2 linked regions of the Drosophila melanogaster genome follow. The protein of the gene in region 1 interacts with the protein of each later gene in a pairwise test. Each region holds a gene or a part of one and is shown on either strand. Other genes may lie near its edges.

Evidence for each region. Proteins that work in one complex are often made in the same cells at the same time.
Region 2: the proteins of Rpt6 (region 1) and Arp6 interact in a two-hybrid assay, tested with the Drosophila melanogaster proteins (one large-scale study listed by BioGRID).

What each region holds. Positions count from the first base shown.
Region 1 is NC_004354.4:21,311,749-21,319,462, reverse strand, and holds Rpt6 (regulatory particle triple-A ATPase 6), read right to left. Parts: upstream 3,412-7,714; 5' UTR 3,286-3,411; coding exon 3,268-3,285; intron 3,205-3,267; coding exon 3,060-3,204; intron 2,915-3,059; coding exon 1,860-2,914; 3' UTR 1,800-1,859; downstream 1-1,799. Other genes in the region: SLIRP1 (SRA stem-loop interacting RNA binding protein 1), read left to right, coding at 336-608; anox (anorexia), read left to right, coding at 668-1,399; CG1801 (uncharacterized protein), read left to right, coding at 4,408-4,625, 4,727-5,312, 5,380-5,523, 5,579-6,335, 6,652-7,136, 7,227-7,506.
Region 2 is NC_004354.4:15,733,417-15,741,286, reverse strand, and holds Arp6 (Actin-related protein 6), read left to right. Parts: upstream 1-4,166; 5' UTR 4,167-4,253; coding exon 4,254-5,450; 3' UTR 5,451-5,513; downstream 5,514-7,870. Other genes in the region: CG8206 (uncharacterized protein), read right to left, coding at 1,309-1,884; CG11679 (uncharacterized protein), read left to right, coding at 2,461-3,723; MagR (magnetic receptor), read right to left, coding at 5,795-5,898, 5,966-6,043, 6,113-6,188, 6,681-6,734, 6,835-6,918; CG12379 (uncharacterized protein), read left to right, coding at 7,364-7,576, 7,734-7,870.

The DNA.
Region 1 (7,714 bases):
ATTTTAGGAGTAATGTAGCTTAGAAGTCATTACATTGGCTTTCAAACCAATTGATTACATTTAACTAATTATCTGTACGCTCCTCTGCAGTATTGATTACATATATGAACAAATGTACTCCGACATGTAGGGTAATAGCACTGCGCTGTTAGCTGCCTCTTTGAGGTTATGTCTCTCTGTCGACAAAAACAGCAAGTTGACGTGAAACAGAAACGCAGCAGTATTTACGCAACGCAACTGGTAAGGAGTCGCCGGGAATCCAGATCGCCTTGGCTGGAAGAAGCAGAAAACCATATTTAATTCGAATTCACACCTCATTTAGCAAAACCGAGTCCATGGCCACCGCCGCAGCTGTAGCAAAAGTCGGAAAATCAGTGCACCGCATTTTCGTGGGCAATCTACCGTGGACAGTGGGCCACCAGGAGTTGCGTGGCTACTTCCGCGAGTTCGGACGCGTGGTGTCCGCCAACGTGATCTTCGACAAGCGAACGGGGTGCTCGAAGGGCTACGGTTTCGTTAGCTTCAACAGTTTGACCGCGCTGGAGAAGATCGAGAACGAGCAGAAGCACATACTGGAGGGCAACTACCTAAACATACAGAAATCTTAGATTCCCCACTTTAATTGTCATTTAGTTTATAAGCTCAGCAGATTTTTTTTTTTTTTGACATGTCGGACAGCGATACGGACACCGTGGACGAGCTTTTCCACCTTGCCACCGAGCATGTGGCCAAGCAGTCAAACAGCATTGGTTCCGCGGACCTTTTAATATTTTACGGATACTACAAGCAGGCCACGAATGGCCCCTGCAAGGAGCAAAGTCCGGGTCTGCTTCAACTGCAGGCCAAGAGCAAGTGGCAGGCTTGGCGCAATCTGGGAACAATGTCCCAGTCCGCTGCCCGGCAGGCCTACGTCCAGAAGCTGCAGGAGCTTCAACCCAACTGGCGGTCCCGGCGCAACCCAGGCTGGGTCGTTCATTCCATTGAGTCGGTCCCACTGGAGGACCAACGTTTGGACAGTGAAAAGACCCTGTTTGACCACGTGAAGGAGAACAATCTAGACAGGCTGAGGGAACTGCTGCAGCCAAGTGACTTGGTTAAGCTGGACGAGCATGGCATGGCGCTCATCCACTGGGCTACCGATCGCAATGCCGTCGAAATCATACAGTTCCTGGTGCGGAGTGGGGCCAGTGTAAATCAGCGAGATGCGGAGCAACAGACTCCGCTGCACTACGCCGCCAGTTGTGGACACTTGGAGGCGCTCCAATGCCTGTTGGAGCTACACGCCAGCCTGGAGCTACGCGATTCAGATGGACAGACTTGTTACGACGTGGCTGACGATGAGCAGATCTGCCAGGTGCTTCAAACGGAACGGGAACGACTCGCTGGATCCGCGTCCTAATGTCAAAATCTTAAGTTGTTCGGTGCTCATTTGCTTTAAAAACAGCAAGGTGTTGTGAACCATTGTAAATCTCCGACAAGTCCCCTGTAAGTTCTTTGGAACTATAATAAACATACATACATAAATGTAATTTTGGAAGTACTTTCCTTTCGGATTTTTAGGAATCATTGAGATCGAAAAAACATAAAAAAGAAAGAGATGGATAACCTCTCTTTTTTTGTTCTGATCAAGCAGCCAGTTGAAAACACTGCAATGTACTTTTTACAAAGCTGCTACTGTAATCTGATAATCTATTCAATTCTTCAGATATCATTGAACGAAAGTTATCTGTGAAGATCATAATTGGGTTGTGCGTACTGACTAAGGAGTAAATCCAATGACACAATAATGCATTTATGTTACTAACTGATGTATTTATTGAAAATAATATAAGGGTTCTTTTGCAATGGCCGATCAACGCCTACTTCCACAGCTTCTTGATAGACATGTTCTTCTCCGAGTCCTTCTGCATCACCTTGGCCACAGCCATCTCGAAGTCCTCCTGGGTGACATGGACGCGTCGTTCGCGCAGCGCATACATGCCGGCCTCCGTGCAGACGCCCTTGACTTCCGCACCTGATGCGCCTGGCATTAGCTCGGCGATCTTGCGCAGATTAATGCCACGCGTGAGGTTCATCTTACGGGAGTGGATCTTCAAGATGTCCAGACGCGCCTCCTCGTTTGGTGGCGGGAACTCGATCTTGCGATCAATACGGCCGGGACGCAGCAGAGCGGGATCCAGGATGTCAATGCGATTGGTGGCCATGATCACCTTGATGTTCTTGGTGGCCTCAAAGCCGTCCAGCTGGTTAAGTAGCTCCAGCATAGTACGCTGCACCTCGGAATCGCCGCCGGAACCTGACTCAATACGCGACGAGCCAATGGAATCGATTTCGTCCATGAAAATAATTGATGGTGCATGTTCCCGGGCCATTACAAAGAGTTCTCGAACCATGCGCGAACCCTCGCCGATGAATTTCTGGACCAGCTCTGAGCCAGAGACGCGAATGAAGGTGCACTCGGTGTGATGGGCAACGGCCCTGGCCAGCAAAGTCTTTCCTGTACCTGGAGGTCCATAAAGGAGCACTCCCTTCGGCTGGGCAATACCCAAGGCATCAAACAGCTCTGGATGCTTTACGGGCAACTCAATCACCTCCTTGATCTCTTTAATCTGTTTGTCCAGGCCGCCAACCATTTCGTATGTGGAGTCAGGAACTTTTTCAACCATCATAAGCGAGACCAGCGGATCCACCTTATTGGGCAGAATCTTGTGCAGCGTATAGCTCTCATTGCGCAGGGCCACGCGGCAATTGGGGGTTACGTCGTTGATATCTATGTTTTTGTCCAGATCGACGACGAACTTGCCCTCGGGATGCACCTTGACCAGCACTTTCTTCTTGTCCATGGGCTTCACAACCTCGCCCACATAGCTACCCTGTTCCTGGAGCAGCTGCAGCTCCTCCCGCAGCATCCGAACTGCAAAAGACGTGCTAATTAGGATTGCTTTCTCAAATTTAAAGATTTTTTGATATTAAGACCAAGAACAAGTCTTATATGTTTTCTATATCCTACAGCTAACCAACTATGCACATTATCTACATATGTGTAACAGTAAATTTACCTTTAGCATTGAGCTCATTGCGCTGGGCCTGCAGTCGTCTCAAATTCTGGTGCTTCTCGGCCACCACCAGCTGCAGTTCCTCGATCTTTTGGATGTAGTAGGACCGGAATCCCTCGCCTTTATGGTAGGCCGACTCGATTTCCATCTGCGAAAACATGGAGCATTGGTTTTTCGCGGTGGAAGAGCTGGGGGAATCAAATGTACATACCCGATTCGTCACCGTCATCTTTCGTTTTCTGTTTACACTTTAATTTGTTATTATTTGTCGAACTGAAGGACCACAATGCAAGATGTCGAATTAATTCCTCTTTATTGTATGACTCTGCATTTGCTTTTCGAGATGACACATGCCGGTTATCGCACTGCATTCGGAATATCGATGCCATCGAGCAATCGGCATCGATAAAAACGCTAGGTGGTAAAAAACCTAGCTAAGGTTTTCGAATTAAATGTGTCCAGTAAACAATTAAAATTAAATATAACAAAACACGACCTTACTCGTAGGATTATACCCGTCGTAGAGTAAATGGAGTGTACTAGATACGTTGAAAAGTATGTAACAGGTAGAAGGAAGCGTGTCCGACCATATAAAGTTTATATATTCTTGATCAGGATCAATAGCCGAGTCGATTTGGCCCTGTTCGTCTGTCCGTCCGCATAAACTTCAAGATCTTAGGAAGTTTAAAAGCTAGAAGGTTGAGATTAAGCATACAGATTCTGGAGACAGCGCTAGTTTGTTGACCCAAACCACCCAAAACTGCCACGCCCACTTTTTTAAAAAATGTCTTAATATTTTATTTTTATATTAGTCTTGTAAATTTCTTTCGACATGCCAAAACCGATACATTTTTTCAATTTATTTACCAATTTCTAGACAGAAAAATGATGATATTTCTCTGAGTAACGGTTATCTGATAGTCGGGGAACTCGACTATAGGTTTCTCTCTGATTCGTGGTAAAATACATTGTGTTCTCTCTTGTTTTTGCGTAGCACCAGCGATTTTTAAGTAATGAACTTGAATTAGCCTAATACCGCTGCTAATGAAAAAAATGTAATGTATTTCTAATTAATTGTGAATACTTAATGTGACAAATTCTAAGCTTGAAGGTGTTCAATATTATCTATGAAAATTTCAAAACATTGGGCATGTAAATGCGTAGTCTGAAATAGTCATCAAAATGTGCTTTGAGAACAAAGTACTGGTATGTTTTAAGGCAAAATAAGAATATTTTCAAAATCCCCTGCCGAAAATCAAACTTCTCACACTCAAACCATCCGTTTTGTGCGGGAGTGCAGACCCGCCAACCAATTTCTGTCGTTTGTTAAATTTATATTTTAAATTGTAAAATGCCGGCCAGCAAGGGTCTTCTTTTCAAGCGCTACATCCGCATCGAGTTAAATCTGTGGCGGCGGACGCTCTTCGAGATCGTCGCCCTAGTGATAATGGTCCTAGTGATCTTTCTCAACCCCATCGCTCACTCCAAAAGGCTTCTATACACGACCACCGAGAACGAAAACGAGCAGAGCATCGTGTCCCACAAACTGCAGGACATAAATATATTGACGTAAGTGCATAGTATTCACCTACAACCTTTTGAATGTAGCGCCATCCAAAGGCGCAACTTAATGCTCCTACCTATTTATATGGTTTTGTTACCTTCCGCAGACGCATGGCAGACTCGAAGCGGGAGAAAACCAAGTACATCCTGGCCTTCACGCCGGAAACGACGTTTACATCGGAGGTGACCAAGAATGTGGCCAAAACGCTGGAACTGAGCTCAACCGTGGGCTACGAGAGCGAGTCCGAAATGCAAAATCAGTTCGATGAGCGGACTACCCTGGCGGGCATTGTTTTCAATGATCTGCGCGATGACGGCACTCCTTTGACTCTGTCCATCTCGATTCGGTTTCCCAGCGAGTTCCGCACGATCGCTCCGTTCCTCACCGAGGATCGCCTGTGGATAACCCGCTGTTCGGGTCGCATTAATCCCGGACGGGATCGGGCCAAGCACGATAAGCAGCAGGATATATATATTCGCGAGGGGTTTCTGCAGCTGCAGCACCAGATCTTTGTGGAATGGTACCACCAATTGCGCAAGGACATAGTTAGCACCTATCCAGAACCCAATGTCGAGGTCTACAACATCCTGCTGAAGGCCGCCGACGAGCCGTGCTCCGTGATGAGTGTCGCCCAGCTGCCCACATTCCTTTATAATTTTATATACCTACTGCCCTTTTTGAATATCATCAGAGTAAGTACACCATCTACACCACCTAACCAACATGAGATATAAGGACGCTTTCTGGCCCAATTCTCAGAACGTCGCTGCCCAGGTGGAGGATGGGGTGATGGTGCATCAGTGGCACTACGGCTACTCCTTTGGCATGCAGTGGGGCATTAAGTTTTTGGTGCTTTTTCTCAGAATGTGCATTTTAGGTGTCATATATACCATCATGTTGTTGGTGAGTTTTTGCCACTTGACCATACCTGCTCAATTTAACAAATAAATATATTTAGGCCTTTTGGGGCTTTGGAGGTCGAGAAGGGGAGTTCTCCGGCACTGGGACGATAGCCTTTGTCTGCTTCATCACACTGTACACCGTGGAGATCATTATCACCGGCATGGTGGTGGCCAAACTGTTTGCCAACCCCACGAATGCGGTCCTTTTCGCCTTAATGCTCTGGCTGTTCATGTACGCGGCATTCTGCATTATCCTGGAACGCTACTGGGACATCCACAAGTACTATGTGTTCTTCATCCTGGTGGCTTTCTGCAACTGCCAGATGCACTTCAGCATGAGCTTGTTCAGAAACTGCATCGAGAAACCGGAAATGGTGAACACCATTGATTTCGTCTTGATCTTCACATCGGCCATAAGTTCGGCCTTGATTTACTTCCTGATTCTCTTGGCGATTCAGTGGCGAATGCCGGGCACCTTCCTCAGTCGGCGGATAGTGAACAATAGGCCGCGGAAGCAGCAGGAATCGGACACCACCATTATGTACTTGGGCAGGGCTCCGAGCTTTCAAAACTTCGAATTCGGCGACGTGGGCAGTGTGGAGCTCATGCGATTGCGTCATGTCAGCACATCACATCGCGATTCGGAGCGAAAGATCCTCAAGAATATATCGATGCGAATCTATCGTGGCGAGGTGTTTGTGATCCTCGGCCACATTGGCTCCGGTAAACTTACGCTTCTGAGGATTTTGGCCGGCCTCAAGTTCCCACTACGTGGCAATGTATATATAATGGGCAATCCCTTTGAACCCAATGGTAAGTTGGTTGTTTTTGTGATTATACCCATTTCTCGTACGGTAAAAGTATATAAATTCTTGATCAGGATCAATAGCCAAGATAATCCGTTTGTCCGTCCGTATAGTTCCCTAACTATAAGAGCTAGAAAAGATTAGATTAAGATGGTATTAAGCATTTAGATTCTCTATTTGAAAAGAGCCGTCCGCTTCTGCATGCAATTTCGTGAGGATATCTTCAACATTCTTACACTTTCCCTTACGTTGAGTAAAGCGTATCCAATAGTCGTGGTATGCTGTAGCCGTTCTCATACTCATACAAATACAAATACAACTAGGTGAAGCCCGTCGCCTGGTGGACTTCCGTTTCGATGAGCATGGGCTCAACAAGCATTTGACCGTAGAACAGACCATTGACTACCATGTGCGTCTAAAACTGTCGCCCAGCGAGTCCGACCGCTACGAGATCGAGAGGCGCAAGTGGTTGGCCATACTGGATCAGCACGTGGAGAGTCGGGGTGTCCGGATCGGAAAGCTGAGTTCAGGCTCAATGAAACTGGTGGCGCTGTGCTGCTGCTTGGCCGGAGATACGCCCATCATTATACTGGAGGAGCCGACCACCCAGTTGACGGGTCGGGAGGCGCAGATTTTCTGGTCGATTGTCCATGCAGAGAAGGAAAATCGCGCCTTCATCATAGCCACTTACAATGTTGGCGAGGCGGAGCATGTCGCAGATCGCATCGGGATCCTCAGCATGGGCGTCCTGGAGGCCAGTGGCACACCCTTCTTTTTGCGCTCCAAGTTTAGCAGCAGTGTGGATCTGGTATTTATAAACCGATTTTATATCAATAGATCTATGTACATATAACAGATAGGACGCAACATTGAATTTGTATCGGTTTTCATTTTCAAGGTCATCATCAAGAAGCCACATGTGCCTGATCAGCCCATCACTGACTACATAAACCAGTTTATGCAGAACATCGAGCCGGAAAATGAGATCGGTGATTCACTTACTTACAGACTTCCCGTGATATATCGTCCCAGGCTGCAGAAACTACTGATTCACCTGGAAATCGATCGCAAGATGCTGGGAATTGAGAATGTGAGAGTGGTGGGTGCGGAGCTCTCCGACATCTACATGACACTGGTCACCTCGTTTCGACTGCAGCAGCAGATGATTCCCGATGTCAGTACGTATACATTCGGGGGGATATATTTATATACATACATATACGAACATATACAACATACATATGTTACATTCGAACTGTTCATTTTCTTCACTCGCCTCCAAAATGATTAGATTCATTCTTATATGCCAATTGTACATGACAGAAGGGGATGACAATGTTGTGCTTAATGCTAACGGGGATTTGTGCAAATTACTTACATATTATT
Region 2 (7,870 bases), 5.6 Mb from region 1:
TATGTATTTTTGAAAACATTTTTTAAAGAATTTCCCAGCCAAAGATAAGCGATGACGTTTTTATCAGTATCTCTTGACACTTGTTGTCGCGCGTCTGGAAAGATTCAATGGAGGTGGAACTAGACGCCATGCCTCGGAATCATCTTGTTTGTTTACAAATTGTCTTGACGTCACCAAAAGCGCAGTGTCATGCTGAGTTGGGCATTCGAAATTATATGCAATTATATGCAGCACTGAAACAATCTGCTTGGTGTTTTCAAAATAATAAACCATATCTACATATATATCTATTTCAATATTTATTATGGCAGAGCAGCAGATTGGGATAGATCTTAATGAAGTTTCAAATGAAGTTAATTAATTTAGATGTCAAGAGATGGATGTAACAGTTGGTAGAACCACTTGGCAATAACTACAGACTCCGTGGGCTTACTATCTTCCGTCCACATGCCATCAGCGCACAAAATCCGTTGTTGTTAGCCAATTTGGGGGCATATCTCTTAGGGATTCGGCGGCCCCTTACGACGCAGAAAAGATCACTCGACAGGGGCGTGTTTTTCATACTTATATGTATTTATATATGGTATGCATTAGTGTCTAGCCCCAAAGCCGTATCTATACCTACCAATCCGGCACATTTCACCATTGCGTAGCCAGGCCGGCAGCGTGCCAATTTTTATTGTTGCGATAATTAGCACTCCGGCTGTGTTTTGATCGATCCGATCAATTAGCGAGCGGCCACCGAGCCCCTTCGGCTTCTACCGGCTTCTAGGGCTCTCCAGATAAATAAATGAGTCCACTTTTGACTGGGCACGTCTAGTATATATGCGTGTGCGTACACAGAAAAAAAAACCTGGTCAATATAAGATAGGCACGGCGTATATTGACAAAAATTGATGGCTTGTAGCCAAAACTTGATGATTGTACATATACATATGTATTTTAACATTTATATCAACAATGAGACATTTTTCTTTCTGTGCACCCTGATTAGATAGTCTACAGCGGAATAACAGATTTAGCCATATACAATGTTTGTTTTTTGCTTTTGAACTGGTCGTTCCTTTAATCACTTTTTTAGGCATTACTCACGGCCCGAAACAATCAACAATTACAGTACAATTATTATATACAGCCGTCTGAGCTCGGAAACAGAATGTGGGATTCCGGTTTGCAGTTGGGTACTTGGGTGCTTGGTTGCTTGGGTTCAATGTGCCACCCCGTGTCGAGTGTGTCCTCCTCAGACACGATTCGCAGGTTGACGGCACCAGGTTCTCACCTCTACTGATGCCCCTTTGACTAGAGTTCCTAAATCAGCTCGCCGCGCTCGTTCACCTTGATCACCCGGACGCGGGCATGCCGGTCGGCCAGCACCTGGTCGATATTCTTGCTGGTACTGATTCCAGAGCTAATGCTGCTATCGCCATCGCTGCCGGTGAACAGTCCCAGATTGTCCTTGATCAGATGGTCGACGGCACAGCCGTCGCACTGTAGGATCACCACGCCGCTGTAGTAGGCCTCTTCGCTGATGGTCTTCGTGTTGCGGGTGTTGCACAGCTTGCAGCGGTACACCAGCTCCATGCGGCGTTGCATGCGTCGGAAGCGCTTCAGTGTCGTCGGCGACAGAGAGCCATTCGCCTGGTTTCCGGACGTGGAGCCTCCCAGGTCAAACTGCTTGGCCGTGAAATGGCACGCATCGAGTATGGAGCGCGGTATGGAAAGCGGTGCTGGACGCGACGATTTTAGGTGCTGCTCGGCATCGTTGGTTAGCGGCACGGCGTCCACCGCTTGTTGCTGCTGGGTGGCGTTGAGGATCGCGTTTTGTCCATTCTGGCGCAAATAGTTGAGAGTTCGCGATGTGAAGATGTTGCGCAATGCGTTCATTTTATGTTGCTACTAAGCGGTGTTGCACATCCGCGTTGCTTTCTGCTCTTGCCGCCCGCTGCAGTGCGTCCTGAATTCTGGCGCCGCACGTGCTGAATGTGGGGTAGTTACTGCGTTTTGTTTTGCCCCAAATGGGGAAGAAAATGGTTAAGTGGAGCGATGAAAACAGCTGATGGCTATCGTTATCGGAGCAGTGCAGGCGGTTGGCCGCTTAAATTCAGTTCTCACATTTTGGCTATTTTGTATCCAGGTTCAGTAATTTGTCTCTATTGGCAGAAGTTTATGTAGTATGAGTTGAAGACTCGTTACAGCATTTCAAAAAGCAAATAACAGAATTTCAACTACCAAATTTGTAGTATAAATACCAAGCAATAATGAAAATTCATAGCTTAGAAATAACTAACGGCCGAAGAACCGAGTTCACCACTGAGTGCCTATCGGATTCGATAATCACAACAAAAGGCAATCGGAGGCCGGCTACTATATTATATAGCCACCAGATACGATTCGTTACCAAACCGATCTCAACTCCCAGAAATGGGCCACTAATTGCTGCTGGAGCATAAATCAAAAGCCATGAACTTTGCACGCCTGAGATTCGGGCAGATGGTCCTTGGAGGACTTCGAATTCCGCGCCAGCAGACGCAGACGCAGTGGATGATGGACCGCCGCCGATGGTTGGCCAGTGAAGCCACCTCATCGGCTGCGGCGCCAGCTCAAGCAGCTTCTGTACCTAGAACTCAAACGCAACCGCGGGTAAAGCCATTGCCGCTAGCCGAGGAGCGCTTGGAGTCGATACTATCGCCCATTCGCACCAGGATCATTCGAAAGAAGCGCTTGGCCATCGATGAACTGTCCGCTTTGGGGTTTCTCAACACCCGTGGTTATACGACCGCCGAGGAGTACAATCTGGAGGATCTGCAGATAGCCCTCCGCGAACAGAACCTGTACGAGACGAAGCGTTTCTTCTCCACAGACAATCTGGACGTGGAGCAGAATGTGCTCTTTGTGGCGGCCAAATATCCGACGGGTCAGCAGCCGCGGGAGATATTCTTCTTCCGCGAGGGCTCGGTGGTCTTTTGGAACTGCAGCGACATCGAGACGAACAATGTGCTAAGTTTCCTGCGCGCCTTCGAAAGGGAATCGTATGTGAGTGCCCTGGTTCACGGGGAGAGCGAGGTGATGCCCTACACCTACATTCCATCGACGGCGGTGGATGTGGAGGGCGATCTGGTGGCGGAGAGCAGCGACTTCAATGTCACGTCACGGGCATTCTTCCAGAATGGCAAGTTCTTTGTTACCGCCGATACGGATAGTTTCCTGTATAAGTACACCTTCTCCAATGCGATGGCACAGTCAATAAAGCTGGGCATGTGGGAGGCGACACTGGACCGCTACATAGACTCCATAGAGCATCTCACCGAGGATCTAAAGCGTGGTCGCCGATTAAGAATCTCGCGGGCGGCCATGCTGCGAAAAACCGGTGAATTATTTGCCCTGCGTCATGTGATCAACCTGTCGTCGGATCTGCTGGATGCACCCGATTTCTACTGGGACCGCGAGGAACTGGAGGCACTCTACCTGCAGGTGTGCTCCTACTTCAGCATCTCACGGCGCACCAAGGTGATGAACGAGAAGATCAACCACTGCGTGGAACTGGCCGAGCTGGTGTCCCACAATCTGAACGATGCCCATCATATCCGGCTCGAGTGGATGATCATAATCCTGATCATGGTAGAGGTGGGCTTCGAAGTGCTGCACTTCGTCAGCGATCACAGTGATTCGCATAAGCTAGAGGTCCTGCCACTGGCTGCTCCTGCCGCCTCGATTCCCAATTAGCAAGTAGGCTTGGTCGATAGTTTTTTGTACTATATTTGTATTTTGACGAAATATAGAATTGTTAGCGTTCCAAAAGTTTGTTTGATCTGTGCTCTATTTTTTTTTTGTCCTTTTTAATTTGTTGTTGCCCGTTAAAAACACCAAACATTACGATTTTAAAATTCTCACTAGATCCAATTTAAAAAAATGGCTAGATTAATCGACAGCACTAAAGCAGACGAAGTGTCATTTCTTTTCCTCTGTCGAAAAATGCTATAGATCTACATCGAGAATATTATAATTTTATTGTATGTGTATTTGTATTTTGCTGAAATATAGAATTATTAGCATTCCAAAAAGTTGTTTCTTGTGTTTTCATTTTGTTTTTGTTTTCCTTATTTAATTTGATGTAGACCGTTAAAACACCAAAAATAACGATTTTAAAAATCTCGATAGATTGAACAAATTAATCGACAGCACTAGAACAGAAGAAGTGTTGTTTGTTGTCCTCTTCCGAAAAATGGTATAGATCTACGTTGAGGACGAAAAGGATGGCCAACGCTGTGGTGGTGTTGGACAACGGAGCGCATACGGCGAAAGTGGGCCTGGCCAATCAGGATGAGCCCCATGTGGTGCCCAACTGCATCATGAAAGCAAAGAGCGAGCGGCGACGCGCTTTTGTGGGAAATCAGATAGATGAATGCCGGGACACATCGGCGCTCTATTACATTCTGGCGTTCCAGCGCGGCTACCTGCTCAACTGGCACACACAGAAAACGGTGTGGGATTACATATTCAGCAAGGACGGCATTGGTTGTTCGCTGGAGAACCGCAATATTGTCATCACTGAGCCGCAGATGAACTTCCAGAGCATCCAGGAGGCAACGCTGGAGATTCTGTTTGAGGAGTACAAGGTTGATGGGGTGTACAAGACCACTGCTGCCGATCTGGCTGCCTTTAACTATGTGGCTGACAGCGAGGAGCGGACTACAATGGAATCGCTTAACTGCATCATCATCGATGTAGGCTACAGTTTCACCCACGTTGTTCCTTTTGTGCTGGGACGGCGCGTTCTCCAAGGCATACGACGCATCGACATGGGCGGGAAGGCGCTGACCAACCAGCTAAAGGAGCTAATCTCTTATCGCCACCTAAACGTCATGGACGAGAGTCATGTAGTTAACCAGATCAAGGAAGATGTCTGCTTTGTGGCGGAGGACTTCAAGCAGGCGATGCAGGTGCATTATTCGGAGGAGAAGCGACGCGAAGTCACAGTTGATTATGTCCTTCCAGACTTCACCACCGTCAAACGGGGCTATGTTCGTGTTCCCGGAAAGCCGCGCGAGGATGAGGAGCAACAGCAAATGGTGTCGCTGTGCAATGAACGTTTCACCGTGCCCGAGCTGCTCTTCAATCCCTCGGACATTGGTGTGCAACAGGTGGGCATTCCGGAAGCGGTGGCCGATTGTCTGAAGGCTTGCCCCTGGGAAGCGCACCGCGAACTCCTGCTCAACATCCTTATTGTGGGCGGCAGTGCCCAGTTTCCGGGATTTCTGCCGCGCCTAAAGCGCGATTTACGTGCCCTGGTGCCCGACGATCTTGAAGTGTCACTCATCTGTCCCGAGGATCCGGTGCGGTACGCGTGGTACGGCGGCAAGGAGGTTGCGACCAGCCCCAACTTTGAAGAGTTTGTTTACACGCAAGACGACTACGAGGAGTACGGTTTCCAGGGTATCAATCAGCGGTAACATGCACGTAGTCGAAGTATTTTTTCAATAATAAACTTGATTTGCACATGGGTTTTCTAGAACATTCCTTGTCTATATATTGAACTAGGGCTAAAGAGGACAAACTGCCAGCCTGCGGCAAGGAAGCGGGTGCGTCACTTACCTAGCGCTACAACTAAAATTTAACTATAGAACACAACTTAATATTTAGAATTCGTTTGCGAAGTAAAATTTACAAAGGATGCGGTGCTTTTGCCAACAACGTAATGAGATACAAGGTCGGGCCGCGTACTGCATTTAACTTAGTTAATTTAGGTCTGTCTGCGAGGCGGGTGCCGGCGGATCTCCTCCGGATCTCCATCGGTTTACATGCTGAACGATTCGCCGCAGCCGCATGTGCCCTTAATGTTCGGATTGTTAAACACGAACTCGCTGGACAGCTTCGATTCCACAAAGTCCATCTCGGTACCTGCAAGCGAATTATACTCTGTATTAGCTGGCTTGTCCAATGCTATGCTAAGCTGGTATGAACTTACCCAGCAGCGACAACTGCGCTTTCTTGTCGATGAAGACCTTGACGCCATCCTGGACCACCTCCTCATCCAACTTGTCTGCTGGCAAAAATCGACACAGAACGCAGCATTAGATCTCCACCGAACAACATTCTGTCCAGAGTGGCTTACCTTTTTGGCTGGCATAGTCCAGCGTGTAGGACAGACCATTGCATCCTCGCTGCCGTACGCCCACCTTTAGGCCAACCTGTGGCAGAAACAACATCGAATTTCTGTCATTAACTGTGTGGCTAATTTATAGGCAGCCTTGTTTATTGACCAAAGACAAAGAACTCGGTATTCTAATAAGTCTGTCTCAATTCAAAGAATTTAATCACTTAAAAACTAAATGATTAACAACAAGATAAACATGCTCATCAAAATTTGGTCGGGTCAAAATTTGGAAAATCTAGCTGATTAACGCAGGCCGAATTAGTTAGCATGGCTTATATTTATAGCTAATAATTTGCGCTAAAATATATGACTGACTGAGGAAAAAGCCTATTGTCAAATATAATGCTTGAAGAAGCCCTCTTGCGAACTTCCTATACTCCATGCAACCAGTGCTAAAACTTAAATAACATGCACGGGAACCTTTAAAGAGCTAGGCGAGATTATCAAGATCTCAATCGTGGAAGGCGATAGAATGCCCACTAAAGTGTAGCCTTGGTTCGATGACAACTTGTCAGCAGTCACTCACCATGTCCGGCTTGTCCTGCAGAAGCGTCTTGATGCGTAGCACCGCCGCGGGTGTCTGAAAAGGATTGGGGGAGATCAGAATCATCAGATCGAAGGGGACTGTTACTTCATCAGCAGCAGCATGCGCCGATTTCACCAGGTTTTGGTTTCCTTACCAGAGTCAGAGCGGCCCGCGTCGGGATTAACTTCCGGCCTTTCACCGCCCGCACTGTCGCCGTTGCCACCACACGTGTCGCCATCGGTTCGTGCCCTTTATATAATTTGTTTGACTCGAGAATTTCCACAAAAAAAATTCGAAAATATGAGTGCTTACTACCAGATGGTCGATAGTACTGTCGATAGTATCACGTGAGATGGCATTAACAGATGTCATCGATTGGCAGTGTCACGGGATAGCGGAGAAACGGTTACTACCTGTTTGAAAAATAAGTTATTTTTAAGCCCCAGAGTCCAGGTGGACTTCATTAATAACTTAACTTAATATTTCACAGTAGAATTTATATTAACAATTGGTTTTAATGTCTGTGAGTTACAGCAAATTTTATCAGCACCAGTGACAGCTATAGTAACTTTTTAAAATCGTGACTCGCGACTAGTTTTGAAATGAAAGGAGGTGCCATCTCTAAGTTTAAATGAATTTCACACTTTTCGATTGAGTTAAATAATATCAACAAAATCGAGGATATGTCCGCCCTAAAAAAATTTTATAAAATCAGCGCAGGTGTGAGAAGAGGCGCACTACTTACCAGTTCCCGAAGAACACAAATTGATGCTTTAAATAGTCCACAATTGCAGTTGCAAGTGCATCACTTTGCAACCAAAACACAAACAGCTGTTTTTAGCAGCAGCAACAACTACACGTGCATTTGCCGCAGTATACACTGCAGTAAGCCAGTGGTATGTTTGGAAATCAGTTGTAAATACAAATAAACTACCCAATTGATATTAAATAATGTTATTTACATTTGTAATTTAAAATATTATAAATGGAATGCAATATTTAAAATTATGTATAACAAAAAAGTTAAGTATAATTATTTTGCTCTGCTCCCAGGACGATGCGGACAAGACGGTGGCCACGAATAGCATTCCTCTGGCGAAACTGGAGGCCAAGATGCAGCTGATCTACACCTGCAAGGTGTGCCAGACCCGGAACATGAAGACCATTTCGAAGCTGGCATACCAACGCGG